Danio rerio: one gene and its partners. The protein of the gene in region 1 purifies or fractionates together with the protein of each later gene. This does not show direct contact. Links are inferred from orthologs where the notes say so. Each region holds a gene or a part of one and is shown on either strand. Other genes may lie near its edges.

What was found.
Region 2: the proteins of sap18 (region 1) and ssrp1b fractionate together in Homo sapiens (co-fractionation; 3 studies listed by BioGRID and IntAct, with this or other methods). This does not show direct contact. The link is inferred for Danio rerio from reciprocal best matches to the Homo sapiens genes SAP18 and SSRP1.
Region 3: the proteins of sap18 (region 1) and sf3b1 purify together in Homo sapiens (co-immunoprecipitation; 3 studies listed by BioGRID and IntAct, with this or other methods). This does not show direct contact. The link is inferred for Danio rerio from reciprocal best matches to the Homo sapiens genes SAP18 and SF3B1.

The regions. Positions count from the first base shown.
Region 1 is NC_133184.1:22,881,292-22,888,966, reverse strand, and holds sap18 (histone deacetylase complex subunit SAP18), read left to right. Parts: upstream 1-4,915; 5' UTR 4,916-5,030; coding exon 5,031-5,102; intron 5,103-5,963; coding exon 5,964-6,073; intron 6,074-6,154; coding exon 6,155-6,277; intron 6,278-6,353; coding exon 6,354-6,510; 3' UTR 6,511-6,833; downstream 6,834-7,675. Other genes in the region: uncharacterized protein zmp:0000001333, read right to left, coding at 2,523-3,868, 4,601-4,778. UniProt on the Homo sapiens protein: Component of the SIN3-repressing complex. Enhances the ability of SIN3-HDAC1-mediated transcriptional repression. When tethered to the promoter, it can direct the formation of a repressive complex to core histone proteins.
Region 2 is NC_133176.1:47,972,326-47,979,917, reverse strand, and holds part of ssrp1b (FACT complex subunit SSRP1), read right to left. Parts: intron 5,380-7,592; coding exon 5,186-5,379; intron 2,175-5,185; coding exon 2,074-2,174; intron 1,955-2,073; coding exon 1,825-1,954; intron 1-1,824. UniProt on the Homo sapiens protein: Component of the FACT complex, a general chromatin factor that acts to reorganize nucleosomes. The FACT complex is involved in multiple processes that require DNA as a template such as mRNA elongation, DNA replication and DNA repair.
Region 3 is NC_133184.1:33,852,092-33,859,783, reverse strand, and holds the start of sf3b1 (splicing factor 3B subunit 1), read left to right. Parts: upstream 1-2,606; 5' UTR 2,607-2,632; coding exon 2,633-2,660; intron 2,661-4,432; coding exon 4,433-4,608; intron 4,609-4,716; coding exon 4,717-4,818; intron 4,819-4,946; coding exon 4,947-5,061; intron 5,062-6,621; exon of another isoform or gene 6,622-6,679; intron 6,680-7,227; exon of another isoform or gene 7,228-7,282; intron 7,283-7,580; coding exon 7,581-7,660; intron 7,661-7,692. UniProt on the Homo sapiens protein: Component of the 17S U2 SnRNP complex of the spliceosome, a large ribonucleoprotein complex that removes introns from transcribed pre-mRNAs.

The DNA of each region.
Region 1 (7,675 bases):
CAGTACTGCTGGGTTATTGACAAAAATATATTATATATCTATACAGAAGCGAAAGAAAACCATAGGAGGCATAACTCAGACAAAGGCACTGGAACCTAAAGGCAGCTGCTGTCAAAGTAAATGACTATAAGAGTCTCTGACCGAGGCGATTCTTCAGGGCCTTGAATAGTTGAAATTCTCAGCATACAACTTCCACTCTCGACAATACCAATTTAAAGTTAAGCTATGGATGGAATGTCTCTATCAAACCAAAGCATCAACAAAGTCAGCTCAGAGACTAAGGAAGCTCCTTACGTAAAACAAAATCACACACACACAGAGGGAAGATTGTCCAGTGAACTGTGCCTAACTAATGATTGGAACTGGTCCTTAAGTTGCATAAGGCCCTGTTAACAGCTGATATTAAGATGCGTTTCTGTCAATCTGATCACAAATGGACGATGATAAATGCATGTGTGAATGGAGGCTGAAACACTTTGTAAACTATCAACCACATCCAGAGGTAGTCCAAACACATAAATGTAGACGCTCATGTGGACAAATGCAAATAAAAATCAGATAAAAACACCTCATCCTCAACCTACCATTATAGTTAGTGTTGTTAAAGTACACTAACCAGGCATGATTTCAGCTAGTAAGTTTGGTTTGAAGGTGTTGAAGAAAAATATTAGACTTTTGGAATAACTTTAAGAACAAATGAAGGGAATGTATTTAATCATTTGCATGAAGCAAAATACGCTGTGTAAATGTAAATGTTTTGATTTGTTCCTTTTCCTGAGCAATTTTGTTCAGTTTCTGTGAAAAAAAGCCCTAAATTCTTTCATTCTGCACACCACTTCTAGTTTCTATAATGGTTTAAGTGCGCTTGAGCATATATAAATCAATAACAAACTGAGAAAACATCTTCATCCGTTTGACAACACAAAAGTCACAAGCCCCGCTGCTTCTTATTTAGAGTAGGGTTGTCACGATACCAAAATTCAATACCAGTCTGTACTGGAATTTTAAAAAACTGGAATTTTTCATTTTACTCAAACATTTGAGCGCTGTTGACCACTTTCTTAAACAGCGCTGATTTGCCATTGTGTTCACATGCTCAACAGAAATGACTGTTATTGGCCTTGAAGGCCATTGGTTTACCGAACTCACCACTGTTTACTGCGTGTAACCACAGATACAGGGACACTGGAGCGCTTTAAAGCAGCGATTCATCAACGGATCACTTGTATGTCAGCTTATAGACCAACCAGCTGATAGGCGCGACTATGAAATGCTCCAGTGTCTCTGTATCTGTGGTTACACGCAGTAAACAGCGATGAGTTTGGTAAACCTATGACCTTCATGGCCAATCACAGTCATTTCTGTTGAGCATGTGAACACAATGACAAATCAGCGCTGTTAAAGATTGTGCTTAACAGCTCTCAAATGTACGTGGAAAAAATGTATGTCAGTAAACTGCGATGAGTTCGGTGAACCAATGACCTTCACGGCCAATTACAGTCATTTCTGTTGAGCACTTGAACACAGTGGCAAATCAGAACGTGCTCAACAGTGCTCAAATGTTCGAGGAAAATGAACGTTTTTCAAATTCCAGCATCGTGACAATCCTACTTTAGGATGCAAAATTGTCAGAATTCTGAGTTTGTTTTGTTTATGTTAATGTCCTAATTGTATGATTTCTTGTTTGTTCCCCCCGACAAATTTCTGTTGTAGTCTGTGCTGTTTGCAGTGCGTTTCTGTATTTGTATGCCTTGTGAGAATTTACGTGCACATGTGTGTAGTCAAAGCGAAGATGTTTTTCTAATATTCATTAATTTTCTTTTCAGCTTAGTCCCTTTGTTTTCTTAATATGTTAGTGTTTTTCCTTATGAAAGGTTTTCTTAACTTGTAGTGCATTTCAGTATTTAGATGCGTTAAAATATTTGCGTGCATGTGTGTGAATTGAAGTGCATAACAATGTTTTTCTCAATTTGTTAGCATTTCTATTTGCAGTTTTTTTTATTTTTGTCTCTCAGCCACTGTAAGTTTTTTTTAAACACAGATTCACTTTTGGCTGTAAATGCATGAATTTGAGGATAAGATTTTAAGCTTTGATCTACAACTACCAGTAGTTCTCCTACCAGTCGTGACTCTAACACAAACCCAACAGCTTTCTGCAGTTTTGTAGCAGAAACAAAAGCTGCTGTTCTTTGCTCTCATTTTCCACTGTCTGCTATTATATTTCATTTAGATGTGCGAGCTTATTGCAAAGTATTACACTGAAATCCTCTAAAAAAATCAAGAAAGTGGTTCAAAGTGAACAAAACAGCTGGATTAAGCAGCAGGTATAACGGTGAATGTGTCTCCCTCGTCTACTTCTAATCAGATTGACCAAAATGCATCTTAACACCAGATGTAAACCAGTCCTTGTTCTGATCCCTCTTGTAAGAACAGAAAATGTCTTCTATAATAATAGAGAAACAATAAAGGTGCATTCAGCAATGGTACAAGTAAAAGTGACTTTTACAAAAGTGTGGCAAATATCATTCCAGGGGAGCAGCAGAAATGCACAGATTATTCAAGGCACAAGCAACCTGCACAATCTTATCAAAAGTGCTCACATTGGAAGTGCGGTCTACGACTGTAAAGGGGCTCTCCACTGGTCCAGTTAACATGGAATATCTCCTCTTAACAATGTCTATTACCTTTCCAACATGCATATGAGCAATCGCTTTATCTGATAGTGCTCCAACTGGCGAGAAATCTCCATCCAGTCCGCTCTGGCTATTTTCAAAGTAAGTGCTACTAGTGATTTTGAGTTCGGCTTTCCGAGCACCTACTAAGCCCCCAATGTCAAAGTCACGCTCTGCCAGAACAACATCACCAGGCAGGAGTTTACAGAGAAGGCCAGAACTCTCAACTAGACTCTTGTCGCTGACATGACCCGGAGATCCTCTGGAAACAAACGTGACTACACCCTGAGGAGCAACACCGATGACATATTTAAGCTCATTCACAGTGGACTGCACTGGTGTGGTCAATGCTGTAGATGCAACATCTTGATTTCCATCCACACTGAGAGCTCTTTCCAGAGACACCCTAAAGCAGTCAATGATCACCGCACAGTCTGGGTATGTGCAACACAATGCAGCTGGTAGATTTTTTCTGAGCTCTACTCTGGAGGGCCAAAAAACAGCAGTTGGCACAAGAGTGGTGAACATTATGTGAATAATCCGATGGACAGTCCTGGCCACTGTGGCAACCTTGACTCCAAAACGATAAGCCAAGTCTTGGTTTCTGAGATCCAGCTTGAGGCGCATTAGTGTCAAGAGAAGTTGCTGGAATTTGGAGAGTTTGACATTTTTGTCTCCTTTCATATGTGGAATGAGAAGCAACATGACCGTCTCGAACACAAAGTAGTTCGGCAATCCTGTGTAAAAGCGAACCTTCTCTGGATCATTCCTAAAGGAAGCCTCAGTGAGAGACATCTTATCTAGCGATTCCCTCAGCTCCATGTTTTCTTTCTTAAGAGCCTCGAGACTGGACTCATAGTCAGGGGGAATGTTTTTGACTGGTTGTCCTCTTTGGAGTACGCTTGTTTGTGAGATTTCTTCTTTTACAGCATCTTCAGTCTTAACATCCTCCTCGTCACAACTGCTCAGTGAAGAGGAAACACTCTCCGGCTCTTCTTGACTTGTCATCTGGCTATTTTCCTCCAAGAAACGCCCTTGTCCTTGCAAAAAGAGCAAAGCATTGGCGGCCTCCACTTGTGCCTCTTGTTTATCATACATTTCACAAGAACCTGCTTCTTTCATATTTGGGGAAAGTGGCGCTGAGGTGAAAACTGAAGGAACAAAATCAGGGGATCGAGGATTTTTCACTTGTTTTCCTGTAAATGGAAAAAAAAAACATTGATGTATTTAAGAGTGCATTCATGTTCTTTAAAAAAAACTAATAATTTATATAAATTAAAATGTTATGGTTTATAAGACACTTAAAAACAATGTGCAAATTCACCAGGCAACTCAATTTATAAGCGTTTCTTTGTACAACTTCAGTGCATCAGACAGTTTTAAAACACAGTATAAATCAGTAACTGTCCAAATCAAGCACAGACAATTAGTCTTTGATGAAGTCTAAATATTAAAATACACAAATGCAAACTCTTACAAGCAACTATCGTCTGATACAGTATTTTTACACATTCATCTAGTGGTTATAATGTGTTATTACATATAATCTGTTTTCTCCCTCCAGATGGCACCAATGGCTTATTAATATATATATATTTATACACAAACACACACATTATAATTATTTTACTATAGGGCATATTAAATTGTGTTGTATCAAGAAATATAAAAGAAAAACAGCGCATTCATTTTTCACATGTTAATTTAGTGAGCAATACCATGCGTTTACCCCCCCAAAAATAATAGCTTAGTCCACATTTGTATTGAACCCAAGCCCTAAAGTGCATTATAACAGTAAGAGTAATGTAGGCATCAGGCAGGGCTTCATCACCATTTAACACATTACTAGACATATTTACAACCATCACAGAGATTAGATTACTGCTAACCTACACATGCTATATGCACCACATAAGATGTTACCCTACCTGAAATGAAGTGTGTGCTGCAGAGTCTGCTGCCCTCGTTTGGCACCCACCCTTCACGATTCACAGCAGCGATCCAGCGCTGCTTCCGCTCCGGGTCGCGGGGAAACCTGTAAAAGGATAACGCGGTCCCTGGAGTTCTCCTGTTCCGACAACCGGCCACTACGCAAGTGTGCACCATATTAATGCCACCAAATTAGTGGACGTATTTGGTTTCCTGAACTAGTAATATTTACAATCTGACTCCCAAAATGGCGGTGGGGGAGAGTAGGCGACACGAGTGTGTCGTCATTTCACTAGTCGTAACCGGTCGGTCGTGATTGGTCCTCGCTGTCTTGGCTATGATGATATCATCTCACCGCGCCGCGATCGAGCGTTTACTGGCGTCGTGAACAGCGACTCATCGCTTATTCTTTCAACAAATAAGATAAAAATGGCTGTGGAATCGAGGGTCACACAGGAGGAGATCAAAAAAGAGCCAACAAAGCCAGTGGATAGAGAAAAGGTTTGTTTTCAGTTACTTCTGTTCGTCAGTGGCGCGAATATTCGTGCACAAACGAGGCGTCCTGCATGCTAAGCTAATTTGTAAATCTAACGCTAACTAAAAATGTAGGTACACAGAAACATTACAAAATATCTAGTTGCAACGTTATACTACAAATCGTATCTTAAACCGTGTGCATTCCTTTTAGACATTTGGCCTTTTTGTTTTATTTTGTACTCATTTTATCTGTTAATGTAGCATAGCGTACATTCTGGCAAATAAAAAGTTGCTTTTATTAAGCTTTTAATATATTTTACCCATTTTCTTATCAAGATTCTGTTTTGGACTGGTAAAAAAACGTCGACTAATATTTAACCATCCCAGTGCCATTTAAGTAAAAAGTCACATACTCTTTGTTAACAGGCTTCCATTTAAAAACGCAATTATATAAAAAATGTTTAACATTATATTTTTGGCACATTTCTTCAGTTTTGTTTTGGAGTAAAATTGAGCATGTTTTCATTTCAGGCCAAATGAACTAAAGTAATACAAATGTTGTTCTGATCGTCGACTTAAAGACAAATAACCTCTAAAAATCTGCACAGAAAAGTATATTTCTCATAAATCAATTTAGTGTTAAAACTACTTTTGTAGTTATTATCAGAATTGATGTTGGTTAAGAAATGAGATTACATCTGCACCAGTGGTTAGTGCGTCAACACATGCACTTCGGTGACCCGAGTTTGATTCCTGCCTAACGATCCTGTGCCAACTGTTTAATAACCATTATATTGGATGCACAGACACATCTGCATGTCTGATTGTTTTAAAAGACATTGTTATTAATACTTTCTACATGTGTTTGTTGTGCTCGTTGTGCAGACATGCCCACTTCTCCTGAGAGTGTTCACCACCAACAATGGAAGGCACCATCGCATGGATGAGTTTGCCCGGGGGAACGTGCCCTCTAGTGAACTTCAGATTTACACCTGGTAAGTATTATTATAAAACAGGCACTGCATCAATGATCAACTGAACCATACAATCCTGATTTGTATATGCCTTGGCTGCAGGATGGATGCTACTCTAAAAGAACTGACAAGCCTGGTGAAGGAAGTCTATCCGGAAGCTCGGAAGAAAGGCACACATTTTGGATTCGCCATTGTTTACCCAGACCCCAAACGACAAATCTACCGGTAATGAATACACAGTTCTTAATACTGTGTTAAGATTTGTTATGGATTTTTTATAACTCCACTGGCTTTATTGCAGGGTTAAAGAAATTGGCAACACAGTTTCTGGGCGCAAAGGTGCAGATGACTCGATGACGCTTCAGTCACAAAGCTTTCAGATCGGAGATTATCTTGACATTGCCATCACTCCGCCTAACCGCGCACCGCCTCTCCAAGGACGCATGAGGCCCTACTGACCTGAAACAACACTTGACTGCATTTAAATGAAAGGGGTGAAGTCTGTCTTCCTGCAGAGTTTAGTTCAGCCCTTGTCTGAGCTTTTCAGGTGAACTGCAAGACTTTGATTTGATCGAGTGTTTATGTCGGAACTAAACTCTGCAGGAAGGTTTATGCAGAATAGCAGCATGATTGAGCTGATAATCTCGATTTGGAAGTAAAAAGGAAAGTCTTTTCATATATTATGTTCTTTGTGGAGTTTTTTATCAGATCTACCTTTTTAGTTCTAGTCCTGTTAGCGTGATTCAAATCATTCATGAATAAATGTTTTTTTTTTTCAGTATCTTGTCTAAAGTCGTATCATTTATAAACCTTTTTTTAGTTAAATGAAGTATTCATTGTTTAAATAAATATTTCAATTTAGCAAGTAGATCTCAGAATGAATGCACTAATGATTAAGCTTTAGTAACTTTATAGTTGTCTCTAACTACTTTGTACTTTTTCCATGTAGTGCAGAATATGAAGATGTACAAGTTGGTACATTGTAAGTACACTTACAATTTAAAAGTATAGTATTCGCACAGTAAACTTTACCCCAACCCTACTATTGAACCGTACCTCACATTCAGTAGCAGAAAATGTGGGAAATTTCCAAAATAACATGTAGCTATAAAGTAACCATTTGGCCTTGTTGGCATTTGTATGTTCGTTTATTGTAGTTAGGTTAAACTGCAAAAGCATTTTGTCCATCTGGCTTTATCTACTGTAACTCAGGGGTGTCCAGAGTCAGTCCTGGAGCGCCAATGTCTTGCAAAGTTTAGCCTTAACCCTAATCAAACAAACCTGAACCAGCTAATCTAGTGCTTACTAGATGACCTGGAAACTTCATGGCAGGCGTGTTGAAGCAAGTTGGAGCTCAACTCAGCCGGAAACCGGCCCACCAGGACTAAGTTTGGACACCCCTGATCTAACTAGTCATAAAGGGATAGTTAACACAAAACTGAAAATACTGTCATTTACTTTTCACAAACATGTTTTAGTTTCTTAGTTTTTGTTGAACACCAAAGAAGATAATTTGAGGAAAGGTGGAAACCTTTGACCATTGACTTCCAAAGTATTTGTTTTTCTTACTATGGAAGTCAAGGGTTACGGTTTCTAAACATTCTTCAAAATATCTTCCTTGTA
Region 2 (7,592 bases), on another chromosome or scaffold:
TAATTGAAATATGAAAGCACACTTCCTGTTTGTTTTCAGTTAAATTTTCACATTAAGTCTATCTGAGATAATGGGCGTGGCTAACATATTTAACCACACCCCTCCAACTGTCAGTTTTGACAACAGAAATGGTGAGGAGGAGGAGTCTGTTAGGTTGTAATAACAATCCTAAAATTTTCCTGATGTTTGTGAATGAAATGCCTACTTTACTACATCCAATCAGCTCGCAGTAGAAAAAACAAGCCACACCCACTGTTTTCTTATTTAATATTCTCGAAGAACAACGTCACAATACAAAAAAAAACATGGTCGCAGCTTCAGGTTCATGCAGACTTTAAGGCCAGTTGACATAAATATATTCAAATTTTTATGTCATCAAACTTGACTATTATTAAGACAACATAACCAGTCATAAATCCGTCATAAACATGATTGTCATGAGGCAATGAATTGACACCAACAAGTTGTGACACATTTGACTTAGTCAAGTTGTCATAACAAAGACATATCAAATAATGTCATCTTTGAATTAAAAATGACATAAAGGAGCCAATGACACTTCACAACTATTGTGATAAACGTAAATAATATGCATAAAATCACTTTTATATTTACGACACGTGTCATGTCACGATTATAACCGTACGCTCACACCGAAAGTGGCGAGAGCGTCAAAGTAGCTAGAGGTCATTCGTTTTCAATGAGAGCCAAGATAAGTGGCAAGGAGCAGCGCAGCGCATCTTCGCCGGTGTGGGCGTCGAGAAGAGTTGAAATCAAGTCAACTCTATGGTAATGAGGTATGACGCGGTTTGGCGGCAAGCAATCAGAATGAAAAATCCACCGCTTGAGAGGAGTTCAGAGAACACAGACCTGTGAACTTTGGTTTTGACCAAAGTTGTTCCCAAGGGTTTGATCATTGCGGTTGCGGATTTTCAATTATTTACAGTGTTTTCTTACAGAAACATACATTAAATAAGTTACTGGCGAGTTACTAATGTGCATTCATGTTATAGATATTTATCTTTAAAAAAGCAGGAATCTCATGCGACAGTACAAAACAGTACTGCTGCTTCAGGATATTTCAGACATATAGACACAATGGATAATTAAGTGGAGCAAAGCCACATCACATGTAACTTGATCTTCCATGGTTAAATAAATTTAAAAAGAACTGCGCAACAATTTCCCGCTAGAAAGCATGTTTTATGCAGGAATGTAACTGATATAATCTTGCAGCGGCCCCTTTAAATATCAGATCAATGTTTTGAATTTTGACACTCTCGCCGCCAGAGCTGAAGGCAGACAGCGTTGTCGCTAGGGCAGCCAGAGTGACCTTAGACGCTCTCACCGCTTTTGGGGTGATCGCACAATTAGGGTGTCATGACAGTCTTATGAACACCTCTTCAAGTAGTTACCACCCTGTCTTACTATATATATTGACAACACACAACAAAAATAAATGAATGCTATGATAAAGCTGTTTAATACTAGCTAGAAAAAATGGATCCAGATCCATCAAATTTGTATAGTTTTAAATTTGTGAACACAAAAAAATATGATATGACAATTAGCATATCACAGTGAGCATAAAAAATACATGTAATAGCCATAATGCAGGGAGTTGTGCAATAATAATCACAACCGCAATAATAAAAAGGGCTATCTTTGAAAGAATGAAAGAAATATAAATTATGAAAGAAATATAATAAAAAATAATATAAATTAAGAAGATTTTTTTAATGTATCAAAGGTTAAGTAAAGGTAATATTAATGGTTCCAGATCCAAATAAAAGATTGCTTTATAGACCATGATCCTCCACTCACCACGAAGAACATTTGCCGCTGGTCTTTATGAGGCAACAGGAAGAGGCGGAGCACTGTGGTGTACGGGATCTTGTAGTCAAATGTCTTACCGTGTAGATGAAGGAATGTTGGATAAATACGGATATCGTACCTAAAGAGAGAGCAAGAAAAATCAAATCACACAATGCCAGTTCACACCTTTGACATTTTTATGTTAAATAAACAACCAAAAAGTATGATGAGAGTATCCAGATGTGTGTATGTATGTACCTGCCCCTAGGCGTGAGGCACTGCAGCTCTCTGAAGATACAAACAGCATCTCCTGTGGCCTGGATGACATCTGCCTTCGACAGCACATTCTGAGCAAATGCCTGAAACATAACGGTTTTCATTACTTCTCAGATTAAGCGGGATTTACAGATATAAATATTGTACAGTAGGACTACAAGAAGAGGGACAGAGGTTTTACGCAAATGTTTAGACGTGTCCCATTGCTTGAAGTCTTTTCTCTTATAACAGGCATCACCAAACTTGTTCCTGAAGGGCCGGTGTCCTACAGATTTTAGCTCCGACCCTAATCAAACACACCTGAACAAGCTAATCAAGGTCTTATTAGGTATACTTGAAACACCTAGGCAGGTGTGTAGAGGCAAGTTGGAGCTAAACCCTGCAGGGCACCGGACCTCCAGGAACGAGATTGGTGACCCCTGCCTTATAACATTTCGTCACCTTGGAATTGTAAGATTCTATCTGCGTTCTAATGATTTTGAGATATTGAGCTTCGAAGTTTTCGCATTTCATATAGGAAACAATATGCATGTAACAGTTCTCTTTCTTACATTAACATGACAGAGAGCCTAAATGTACTCTAAATGTAAAATATCAAAATTGTCTTAAAAAAAAAACTGGGTGAATGCAGATGCAGAACCTTGTAATTCTAAAAAGTCTTATTCTGCTTAGAATTATAAGGTTCTATCTAGCAGATCAATAATTGAAGCATTGCTTTTCAAAAATACGATCAGTCTGCTTATTAATTTAAAAAATAAAAACTGGTATGTTTTATTAAGTTGTTGTTATATTTTTGCTTTCTATGACTTTATTTAATGTTTTAGGATGAAACTTGTTTCTTGTTCAAATGAACCATACAAGGCTGTGCTAAATATTTTGTCCAGTGCAGCTGTTAATTGTACACTAAGAATTGCTAGGTTATTTACACCCAAACTGGGTAAAATATGGACTAACTCAAGCATTGGGTTTAATTTAGTCTTTATTTATTTAATTAAAAAATTAACTCTGCAGTTGGTTTAGTCCATATTACACCCAGCATAAGGCTGAAATACCCCTAGCATTTTTAAGAGTAAATGTAATTAATATGGTAATATTTATTGAATATATGCTTTATAAAAATAATTGAATTATATTTATTGAATTATATGCCGCATTAATTAAATTATCTAATATTTGCCCTTCGAGGTTTAAGATTAAATTTAAAGACTCTAAAAAAACGCAGACAATGAGTGAATGAGTTTTAATAAACACTGAAAAATGTTTCACTGACAATATATACACAAATAAAAATATTTCACATTTAATATATTACATTTTTTAAATAACTGTTTCTTTTTCAACAATGTAAAATTGAACCTGCTTCTAAATCATCACATTTACACACATCTTTTCAGTTTCAGGTTTCTTTTTAATTTTGTGAGGTGCGGCATAATTTAGTCGACTTGTATTGTGTTTCCTTCTGGTCTTTCCAGCTGTCGACAGAGCAATCTGGCGAAATGACAAAGAAAGCTGTTCCTGATTAGTCCTCGTGGGTGCATAAGAATGGCTCACAGAAAAAAACTTATAAAGCCAAGACAGAGTTCGACTTTGTAGTTTTGTAAATAAAACCTCTTCAAATGTAAGCAACTAAAAAAACATTCCATAATGTAAATAAGTTGTCATTTAATAAGAATATGTGAATAACTCAATTTTGACAAAAATGTCAGATAGAATCTTATAACTCTAAAGTGACAATATTTTAATGATCATTCAAAAGCTTTAAAAATAAATATCCTTTATGAAATCATTACTTTTGTATATGCCACATTTAAAGCTTTTAGATTGTCCCAACCAACCCCCCAGTAGGTGTCAATCTTCATATTACAAAATGCACTAGACTATTTTATAATCTTAAAATTTATTTAATCTTGAAAAAGGACATAAACATGCATTTGACAATCAGGACTCCATATTTAGTGTCTGTTTTGTAATAGACGTACTAAATGCTTTGACAGAAACTGATTGATTTGTGACACAGAAATGAATTTCAGTATCACCTGCTGTGTACTTTTATGTAACTGCAACTTTATTTTTAACTACAAGTTTTAGAACATACCTTAATTAGACATGGCCATTTAAGTTGGGATAGAGCCAATAAATGAATAAACAAAATAAAAAAAAAAGATATAATGAACTAATTAAAATAAATAAATACAACTCAGTTGATATGTATTGTATTACAGTTGAAGTCAGAATTTTTTGCCCCCCTGAATTATTAGACAGCTTGTTTTTTCCCCCCCCAACTTCTGTTTAACGGAGAGAAGATTTTTTTTCAACACATTTCTAGTCATAATAGTTTTAATAACTCATTTCTAATAACTGATTTATTTTATCTTTGCCATGATGACAGTAAATAATATTTTACTAGATATTTTTCAAGACACTTCTATTCAGCTTAAAGTGACATTTAAACGCTCGACTAGGTTAATTAGGTTAACTAGACAGGTTAGGGTAATTAGGCAAGTTATTGTATAACGATGGTTTGTTCTGTTGACTATTGGGAAAAAAATTGCTTAAAGGAGCTAATAATTTTGTCCCTGAAATGGTCTTTAAAAAATTAAAAACTGCTTTTATTGTAGGCAAAATAATACTAATAAGACTTTATCCAGAATAAATAATATTATCAGACATACTGTGAAAATTTCTTTGCTCTGTTAAACATCATTTAGGAAATATGTAAAAAAGAAGAAAAACTAATTCAAAGGGGGGCTAATCTGACTTCAACTTTAATTCTTAGTTATAATTAAAAATGTAGTATTTATTTATTTTTCATGTTTTTATTTTGTCATTTTATATATTGTTTAATTTTTTATCCGTCTAACGGTATATTGAGTAAAAATTATATTTTCCAAATAATATTTCACTAAATGTACGCAAATATTACTTGCATCTTTATAAATGAAATCTTCATACAAGGACCCAATGGTGATGGTTATATTTGGGCATCTCTAATTTTAAGACTAAAAAAGGCTCCTGCTTTAGGGGAATTGATCTCTTGGTAACCTGCGCCATCTGCTGGTCAGTGTTAGACTGGGATGAACATGCACACTCTTACCTCTACCGGGTCTGAACCCTCGTCCCCTGTGGTGGGTGGGACGTAGAAGCGCACCTCCATGAGAGACACCTCTGTGTCATCATTCTGATGAAACTCCACTGTCACCTCATTCTTACCCGTCGTACACTGGGATACACTGGAGAGAGGAATCTCAAATGTAGGGCTGTCATTCACGTCAAAGGAAAGCAACGGCCCTGAAAATACACAGGAGAGCAGTTTAACACATAGATGAGGCCGATTTTTTAAGCTGAGTTTAATAAAATACAAAGCTTGAACATGGTTAGTTATTAACAGTGTTTCATTGTTCGGCCCTGGGGTAACGTTCAGTGCTTGGCTGTATCAGAAGGAAGTAGACCTGTGCCAAATGACGACAGTATATAAATTTTTCTGCTTTAGCAACCCTGACAGAGTTACAGAGGGACAGAGAGCAGCCTTTACTGTTTCTATATAAAGTATTTCATTATATATTGTGGTCAACAGGTCAACAACTTAAAAATGTACCAAACTATGCTTTAAAAATGTATCATTACTATTATAATTGACACACACACACACACACATACATACATATAAATATATATATAGAAATATAGAAATAAATTTTTACTTGCATAGAGCTTGATACTGTAAGCCTCTTTTACTATTTGTTGCATTATAATGAATAAATAAATAATGAATAAATAGGTGGCGCAGTGGGTAGTGCTGTCGCCTCACAGCAAGAAAATCACTGGTTCGACAAACGACTGGGTCAGTTGGAATTTCTGTGTGGAGTTTGCATGTTCACATGGGTTTCTTCCGGGGTACTCTGGTTTCCCCCACAGTCCAGACTCCAAAGACATGCGGTACAGGTGAAATGAATAAGCTAAATTGGCCATAGTGTATGGGTGTGAATAAGAGTGTATGGGTGTTTCCCAATGTTGGGTTGCAGGTGGAAGGGCATCCACCGCATAAAACATATGCTGGATAAGTTGGTGGTTCATTCCACTGTGGCGACCCCAGATTAATAAAAGGACCAAGTCAAAAAAGAAAATGAATAAATGAGCCGATATATCCACTGTCCCATTAAGCAGGGTCTAAAATGAAAACATTTTTGAAAGCAAGGAAAAAACAACAACTATAAATCTAAGCTTTGTAATGGCACTGTTGTTATTAATAATGTAATTACGTTTATTTACACAATGTATATTTATTAAAATTATATTAATTGTATTATTATAAAAATAATATTACTGTTATATACTGTGCAATAGTATCACAATAATATATATTTTATGGACTTATTACATTTTTATAATTAATTGAAAAAAATCTAAAGCAAATTGTAATTACAATTGAAAGTAAAATGCTACACAGAATGCATTGCTTATTTTGTCTTACAATAAAGTCAGCTGGCGAAAAGGCGAGGCGAGAACATCTTGTAAGACATCTTGTATGTCCTGCTCTTAGTGCTCCAACAGCCTGAGTATTTACAACATTTACACTACAACATTATGTATTTACCTTGAATTAGCTACATCATGTTTAATAATATGTATTTTTGTATTTATTACATTTTTATAATTAGTTAAAAAAATCAAACATTTTAATTACAATTACCGATTCACATCACCATACATAACATACAAGAAACCTATTTTTATAGTGTTATTTTGCTTTTGATTATTAAAAAGCTTTAAAGATATGTTCATCGAAAGGTTCTTTGATATGGAGCGAATAATATGCCAAAACAATCTGAATTTTCTTCACTGTTGATGACCCCTGACCTACTTTTTGCTAAATCTGAATTTCACAATCTGATTTTCTGGTTTTAAAATTTAAAATATTGAATTCGATGCTCTGAATTTCTTCATCTTGAAAACTCAAAACTGTATTTTCACAAGCTCAATATCTGCAATCTATAAATTTAGAACGAAAAAATCTGAAGTTTGAAAATACGTCAATAGAAATCTGAAAAAATTCAGTTGTCTTAAATTTCAGATGTTCAATATTCAAGTTAAGAAATTCAAATTCAAACAGTTTAATAGCATTTAATATTAAATTTTATTAAATTACAATTGCTATTGTGATTCAAATTTGCACAATTTAAATTCAGATTGTTTTTCCATATTATTTGCTCCATACTTTTGGAAGACAAACATACTAAAAAACAGTGTTTAAGGTCACTACTGTCACAATCACCAGCGATCTAGACCAACGAATCCTGTCATGCACCTCACACACACCTGTTCCAGTTCTCTGTTGATTACACACACACACACACACACACACACACACTTTTTTGAGTCTTGTTTATCTGTGAGCATTACGACGTGTTTTCTCCCTGTTTAGCCTAGCTGTGTTTTAACCCTTTGTCTCTTTGTTTTGATTCTTTGCTGCTTGTTCCGACCATTCGCCTGTTCTATGACCA
Region 3 (7,692 bases), about 11 Mb from region 1:
TAAAATGTGTCCAACGTGTTTCAGATCAATCACTGAAATGCAATGGGATGGGGCTTTGCTCTATAAATGGCACAATATCTACTCAATGGAAAGAGAGGCAGCCAAATTCATTCATGTTAGCACAACTGTTGCCAAGAGCTGTTAAGCATGGCGTAACGGTGTCAGCCAATGGTGATGGAACAGTCACCATCAGACACTTGAGACGGCCTGCCTTATGCAACTGGTTTAAGCACTTGGCAGAGCCAAGCACTCGGTATGGGTACACTACGTCCCTGACCACAGGTAATAAACGTCACAGCTTAGCTAGTGACGTCAGATATGCAGCAGTCTTCTTTGAACTCATACCTGCAAAGGTGTCAGGAGAAAATTTAATAAAGGACTCACCTTTGGATTATATGCACATGAAGGGTGCCACTTCTAAAAGTTTACTGTTTCCCTAATAAAAACTACTGACTGTGTCTGATATGTAGCTAGTTTACAAAAAAAGCAGCTAAATACTGTTTGGGAGCAGCTTTTTCAAAAATTACAAACTCCCACTTTTCTGCAATTTCCCTTTAGTTGTATGTGATTTCAGAGCTGTATTAAATAAACACTAGCTGTATACAGCTCATTAACGGTCATTGCAAAAATGAGAAAAGCGCTTGCTAGATACACCTGGACAATTACATAATATCTTAACCTTGCTACTGACACTTTATCTGGCAACCAGATATGTGACTCCCACCCACCCAACCCTCCCTCTAAAGTTTTTTAAACACTTATTAGAGCACGTCAGAATGTTTAAACCATTGTTGAACTATTAATAAGGTCTTCATTTACATAAACTTGTCAAGTTGGCCTTAAACAGGATCCACTTGTAAGAGCGAAACTAACCGTCCAAATATCGTCAGAAGCTCGCGACTTACTTCACTGCGTTACTCAGTTTAGTCTTCAGATAACCGCACAGAGACAGTGCGAAACATTAAACCGTCTTTAATTACCTCACTCCACTCTTCCCTGGTGTTTCTCGACCGGCTGTGGACGGTAAGTTTCTGATACACTCCGCTACCGCTCTCCTCAAACACCGGGAGCCTCTCGCCATCTTCACTTCACCTCTCTTTCGCCTCCTCCCGTCGAGAACTCTTTTCCCGTCTCGAAGACCAGCCCTCTCGAAGACCCGTCCTACAATGTCATTGGCCGAGGCTGTTTTTCACGGCCTCTGATTCGTTGAGTCGTCCGTCCGTCATCGATGACACTCACTGACGTAAGTGTTTTAATTGTGCAGAGGGTTTGCGTGCGCAGAATTGTCACGGGATGCAGGATAGGGTTGCCCAGACTGCGCGACCTACAGTGCATAGTTAGTAAAGGTTACTGCTAAATTTGTTTGAGGACACAGTCAGTGTAAACGAATTAATAAGTTTTGCTTACTATAAAGTATTATAATTAACAAATATGTAAATTAAATAATATTTATGCATATCTGTCCAGTTAAGTTACAATGAAATTGCTACTAAACTACTGTTGCCATTACTGTTATCGTCACAGAATTTGATAGTAATATAAGTTAGTCCTAAGTCAATTAAATATAATATGGAGCAGTTTTTCACAATGTAAAGTAATTACACATGTATACATTTTAAACTTCATGATAATAAAGACAAAATATAATCATTTTTGTGCAAAAGACCCCATCCTAAAATGTAAGACACCCAGACCACATAGTTTCTGGAATAAATACCAAATTTATACATTGAACATGTTGAACATACTATAAATAGATCTAAAATAGTATTTGGAATATGCTTATGTTTCTATTATGTTACATTATTAAATATTTACTTATTTTTTATTATTTAAATTATTAATTATTACTACTATATGTACTAGTTTCTCCATTCCTTCCCCCAAACATTTCCATAGAACCCCTAGCTAAAACTTCCTTAACTCAAATTTAAAACCCCCTGATTATGTAACCATACTGCTTTTTAAAACTGCAGTCAAATCTGTCTTACATGCGCCTGTAACATAAGCATTCAAAACAACAGAGAGCACGGTTTTTATGTAATACTATTTAAAATATTTAAGCTAAAATGACCGTAGTGCATGTGTTTGAATGCAAGAGGGCTTCCTAGTGTTGTGTTGCTGGAAGGGCATCCGCTGCATAAAATATATGATGGATAAGTTGGCGGTTCATTCCTCTGTGGAGACCCCTGATTAATAAAGGGACTAACCCCCCCCAAAAAAGAAAATGAATTAATGTTTCGAAAGAGACACAAGTAAACTTGTCCTGTTCTCATTCCTCCTGAAAAAAGTTTGGTCTTTGCCACATAAATATGCTATTAATTAAGTTGTTTGGTTCATAAATAGCCTTATTCCATTTTATCTTGTTAATCTATACCTTAGAGTCTCTAACTAAAAACAACAAGCAAACATTTGGAAAATCCTCCACTCCGTTGTGGCTCTTTCCTCAAGCAGAGCGGGGGGTAAACTTAACAAGAGAATGCTGTCACTTGCCAGCTGTGTTGACGCCTAGTGCTTGTGCTCTGCGCATGTGCGTTATTTTCTGCCGCAGAGAATGCGCATGCGCGTTCTTGTAAACGAGACGCTGTCGTGAAAGGCCTTCCGGTAGTGAGGCTTACACAACAGCACGAAAATGGCGCAGATCGCCAAAACACATGATGGTGAGTTTAGGTTTCAAATATTTGCAAGAAGCATGTCTCGTTTTGTAGTTTTTTATATATTGCATTTTGTGCTTAATGCCACTTTTTATTTAAAAGAAGTGCATTAAGCGAGAAATGAGCAGGATTAGAACTGGCTAAGCCCGTGAATAGAATATGGCGTCTGGTCGTTGAATAAAACCTGGCCGTGGCGCACATATAAAATATCAGCGCTTTTTCCGCATTAAGAGTTTTTTTGTGGATTATAGCAGAGCTAATTGTAATATACAGTGCTAGAAAATAGCATTAGCATGTGTCTGTTTTGTCTATGTAGACTACGTAATGTGAAGATGTACTGGTTAATCAGTGATGTATTGAAACCAAAATGGCGTTGCAAACACAAACAGAGCTTTTCCATTATGTAGGTATGTTCATAGACGTTTACTTGTGATAGTGTGGTTATTTATTTTATTTTTGTAGAGATGTAACTTGTATTCATTGTTTAACGTTTGGCATTTTCCATGTTTATGTATAACACATGGCCGTGGGTGATTGTCCTGCAACAGTCATTATGTTAAGCGGGCTTACGCACTTTTGTTATATTAATACATTATGCAATGTTTTTATGACAATACCTAAGTAATAATAAAATATAAGTTACATCTCCCTTCACGTATTAGTTATAAATATTTGTAAGGATTTTATATGTATGTAGGGACTTCTTTTTGTCTTAATATTGTGCATGTATGGTTTACAAATCATTGTCTTAAATTGAAGAGTTAGGATTCAAAAATCTCTAAATGCCAACTTGTCTCCTAAAATGAGAATTTTGTTTCAGCCTCCTTGTTATTTCACTTTAAAGTCAATGAAAATAACTTATTCATTACTATAACAGTAACATTACTGAGCCTACACACAGGAGTTAGAGAAAAATGCTAATTGAAGAAGAATATCAAGCGGCATGTAGAGATTTTTTGCATATAAAACTCATCGATTGTTGATTTTAATAATATAGTTTCAGAAAAAGAATTTTTGCAAATTCTTAGTAGGGAAGGCATATGACTGTCAATTAAATAGTGCTACTGTTTTTTTTATTATTCTTTAGGGTTAGATTAAATCTCTTGTGTTAGTTTAGACTGAATATTCATAGCACAGTAAACAATATACAGGCCATAATATAAATATAAAAATATAAAACCAGATTTACCTTAGTTTGTTCTATTAATAGAATATGCAGTTTAATGTCAGTGTGTATTAAAGGTTCCGACTGTATGATAACCTTGGATAAAAGTTTGCAATTACTGCTCTAAAATAAGTTCTTTTTAAATATCTGTTAAAAAACAAAAACATTTCACTTTGAACACAATATATATATATATATATATATATATATATATATATATATATATATATATATATATATATATATATATATATATATATATATAGGTACAGACTTCATTAGTTAAAAAAAAAAACAGATTTCTTTAAAATTTAAATTTGGCATCTTTGGAGATTTTTTTTCTGCTAGAGATACTGTTGTCCTAAAAAAACGAAACGTAAAAAAAATCCTACGTTACAGAAAAATTTGGTGTTTTTTTTTAAACCTTGACATTTCCAAACCACGGTATACCTTGAAAAAGGTTATTGTCCCATGCCTAACATGTATAAAAGTGACGTTAGTGATGGTGGAAAATGACTTCCAGGTCACCTCACCTATTATAATATTAGTTAAAATGTTTTTTGTTATTTTTAGAGGACTAATCTCTGGTTGTTGTTTTTTGTTTTTGTTGTAGACATTGAGGCTCAGATCCTGGAAATCCAGGGGAAGAAAGCCGCTCTGGTGGTGGAGGGCGGTGACCAAGGAGTTGGCCTTGATTCCACTGGGTATTATGACCAGGAGATCTACGGGGGCAGTGACAGCCGCTTTGATGGGTATTTGACTTCAATTGCTGCCAATGAGCAGGAGGATGTAAGTTATAGCATAACGCTCTTAAAAGTAAAACAAAAAATACAACTCCATTGTGTATAAGAATTCTGTTTAGTTTCTTGAACCTAACCCCAACTATTTTTATTTTAGGATGATGACGAGGATTCATCTACAAGTCTCCTTGTACAGAAGAAACCAGGATATCATGCTCCGGTTGCAATACTCAACTCAATTCCTCAGTCAGATGAGCAGGTAATTTAACAGACTTTCCACCTTCAAGTTGCAGTGTGTGTGTGTGTGTTTTCTTGTGAAGTTTTTGTATGTGTTTTTGAAATGTCAATTTCGAATTGATCATACAATTGTTTGTACCCATTTTGCAGTATGATCCCTTTGCCGAACACAGACCGCAGAAAATTTCAGACAGGGAGGATGAATACAAGAAGCGCAGACAAAAGATGATCATCTCCCCAGAGCGTCATGACCCGTTTGCTGATGGTAAATTTCACACTACCATTCTCCTCTGCTTATTTTATTTGCCCATGCCAATCAGTATTTATGTTCTCTGCCCATGACGATCCGGTGCAGACCGGCCTTTTTTGCTGCTTAACCCTTCGAACACCACCCAACTGCTTGCTCCCTGGACTGATCTGTAAAGGCCCTGATATGTGCTCAGCGAAGTCTTTGAATTTTTCTTAAAACTTTCATTTAAGGATAAAATAAGTGTAAAATACTTGAACAGTTCTGTTCTGTTAGTAAATTCTAAACCACTCAGGCCACTCTTTATAATAATATATGGTGTACTGCACGTTTAACAAAATAAATATAAATTATAGAATTAAGAATACAGCATCTAATAATGAGGATATTTATATGGGATTTACAGTTCAATCAAAAGATTTACTGTATATCTGTTTATACATTAAATCATTTTAAAGGAAGCGGCTTTACAGTATTAAACGTGACAAACAACAGTGCCAGTGTTGCAACTTCAAACGAACTTAAGATTTTATTCGAAAGTAGTTTTGAGTTCTTTGTTCTTCAATTTCATTTAAGCAATATCAGGGCCTTAAAGGGATAGTTCACGCCAAAATGAAAACTTTCTTACTATTTACTCACCCTCAAGAGGTTTCAAAGATTTTTTTTCTCTAGAACACACAAGATGATATTTTGAAGAAAGCTGAGAATCTGTAACCATTGACTTCCATAGTTGGAAAAACAAACACTATGTAAGTCAAGGGTTGCAGGTTTCTAATGTTTTTCAAAATAAAGGTTTGAAACAAGTCATTCAAAACATAATTTTTGGGTGAAATATCCCTTTTAAGACTGTCTCAGTAAGGCATAAGTGGATAAATGAAATGTACTGAAAAATATTGATGATGGATTTATATGTGTACTTGTTTAAGTTGGGCAGCAAAGATTTTGGGAGACGGTTGGGTGGTGTCATTGGTCCCATCATGGCATAGGTTGCAGGTAGGTGTGTTGTTCGAAGGGTTAATGTTTTTAATGTGTGAAACAGATGATACAGTAGTCAGGCAACTTAAACACAGACACTGTGTAGTATATGAAAAGTTTCTAATTGCCAGAGACAGCATACTGTCAGATTTATTTTTCCCCCCATACTATTGCCTGCATATTTTTCAATGGTTAGACACCCCTGATGTGTCAATGTCAGTAATGATTCCCAATAAGAGTGGAGCTTTAAAGCCCTGTGAAGCCAAATTTAACTCCATTTATGTTGTCCAGATAATTTAGTATCTTAAAACCGATGGCCTGTGGGTGCTCATACCAGTACAATTTTACAAGAAGTTTAGATCATGTTTAAACAGGCTGCACACTCACAAAACTGACTCACTTGGGACCAAATTATGGGAGGGCAATAATTCTGGATCAGGCAAATCATCTTGCATGTAGTCCCAGACAGAGGAAGCTTTACAAAAACTGTTGTGTAAATATATTTCTATTTTATAATGATAAAATAGAGATATATCTATTGAAGAATCTGTGTACCAAGATTCCACAGGCCCATACTAACTGTCCTTAATTTCTCTCCTACAGCAGTACTGCTATGCCAGTCCTGTCTGCACTCTCTTAAGGGTGCAGCAACTCGTCCTGTGTAGGTTATGGTCAACAAAAAGAAGCGTGTTTATCAGATAAATCAAGACCATAGTTAGTAGTTTTTGCTCTGATGTGAGGCCAGAGAGCCTTTCGGGGGAATGCACCATGATTTCATCAAGCTATTTTATTGATTTAGTTTTACTTTTGTTATGTTTCACATTATTTTTAAAGCCTCATCGGGGACTTTTTTTAAATTCCATATTCACTTTTTTCATTTCAACTTACTTTTAGACAAATTCATCTTAGTTTAAATTTTATTTAATCTAACCAGATGCACACAAGTGTGCTTTAAGTCATTGATTAGTTTCTGATATTTTGTTTCTTTTCTGATTTGATTAGAACTCCCCAATGTGTTCAGTGTCTTTGACTGTAACACCTATAGTTTATTAAATGTATATGATTTTTAAGTCGGTTTTTGAATACTACATGGTTTTCCCCTTTTCTTGTTTGTAAATGAGTGACGAGCAGAATAGGTGGTATGCTATTTTGTGTGTGAGTACAAACCCTTTTCCAAAGTGTTACTAATGGTAAAGAGAAATTTTCTAGGCTTCTTTTCTGCCGGTTGAAGTCTGACTGCAGAGGGACCCTTGGCACTGAAAGTGTACGTATTCTGGAGAGCACAGCCCAGGACCCTGCATCAGTGATGGCTATATCCTCTCCTTATCTCCTCTTAAAAGCAACAGAAACCTCTTTGTACCTGCCTGTTCTTAATGTTTGACTGTAATGAGTGCTTAGCTTTTATTGCATAGGGTTCTTTTGTGTTATGAGAGGACAGTAATTTAAACATTAAAGGCCATCTATTCAGGGACACTTGACTGTAGTGCTTTGTGTGTGAAAATGCTGGTTTTGAGATGCACTTGGCTGACCGTTTCGCATCTTGTTGGTGCTCTTTCGCCTAGGGGGTAAAACACCGGATCCCAAGGTGCAGGTCAGGACGTACATGGATGTTATGAAGGAGCAGCAACTTTCCAAAGAAGAGGTAAGTTCTAGCACTTTGGTGAAATGTCTGTA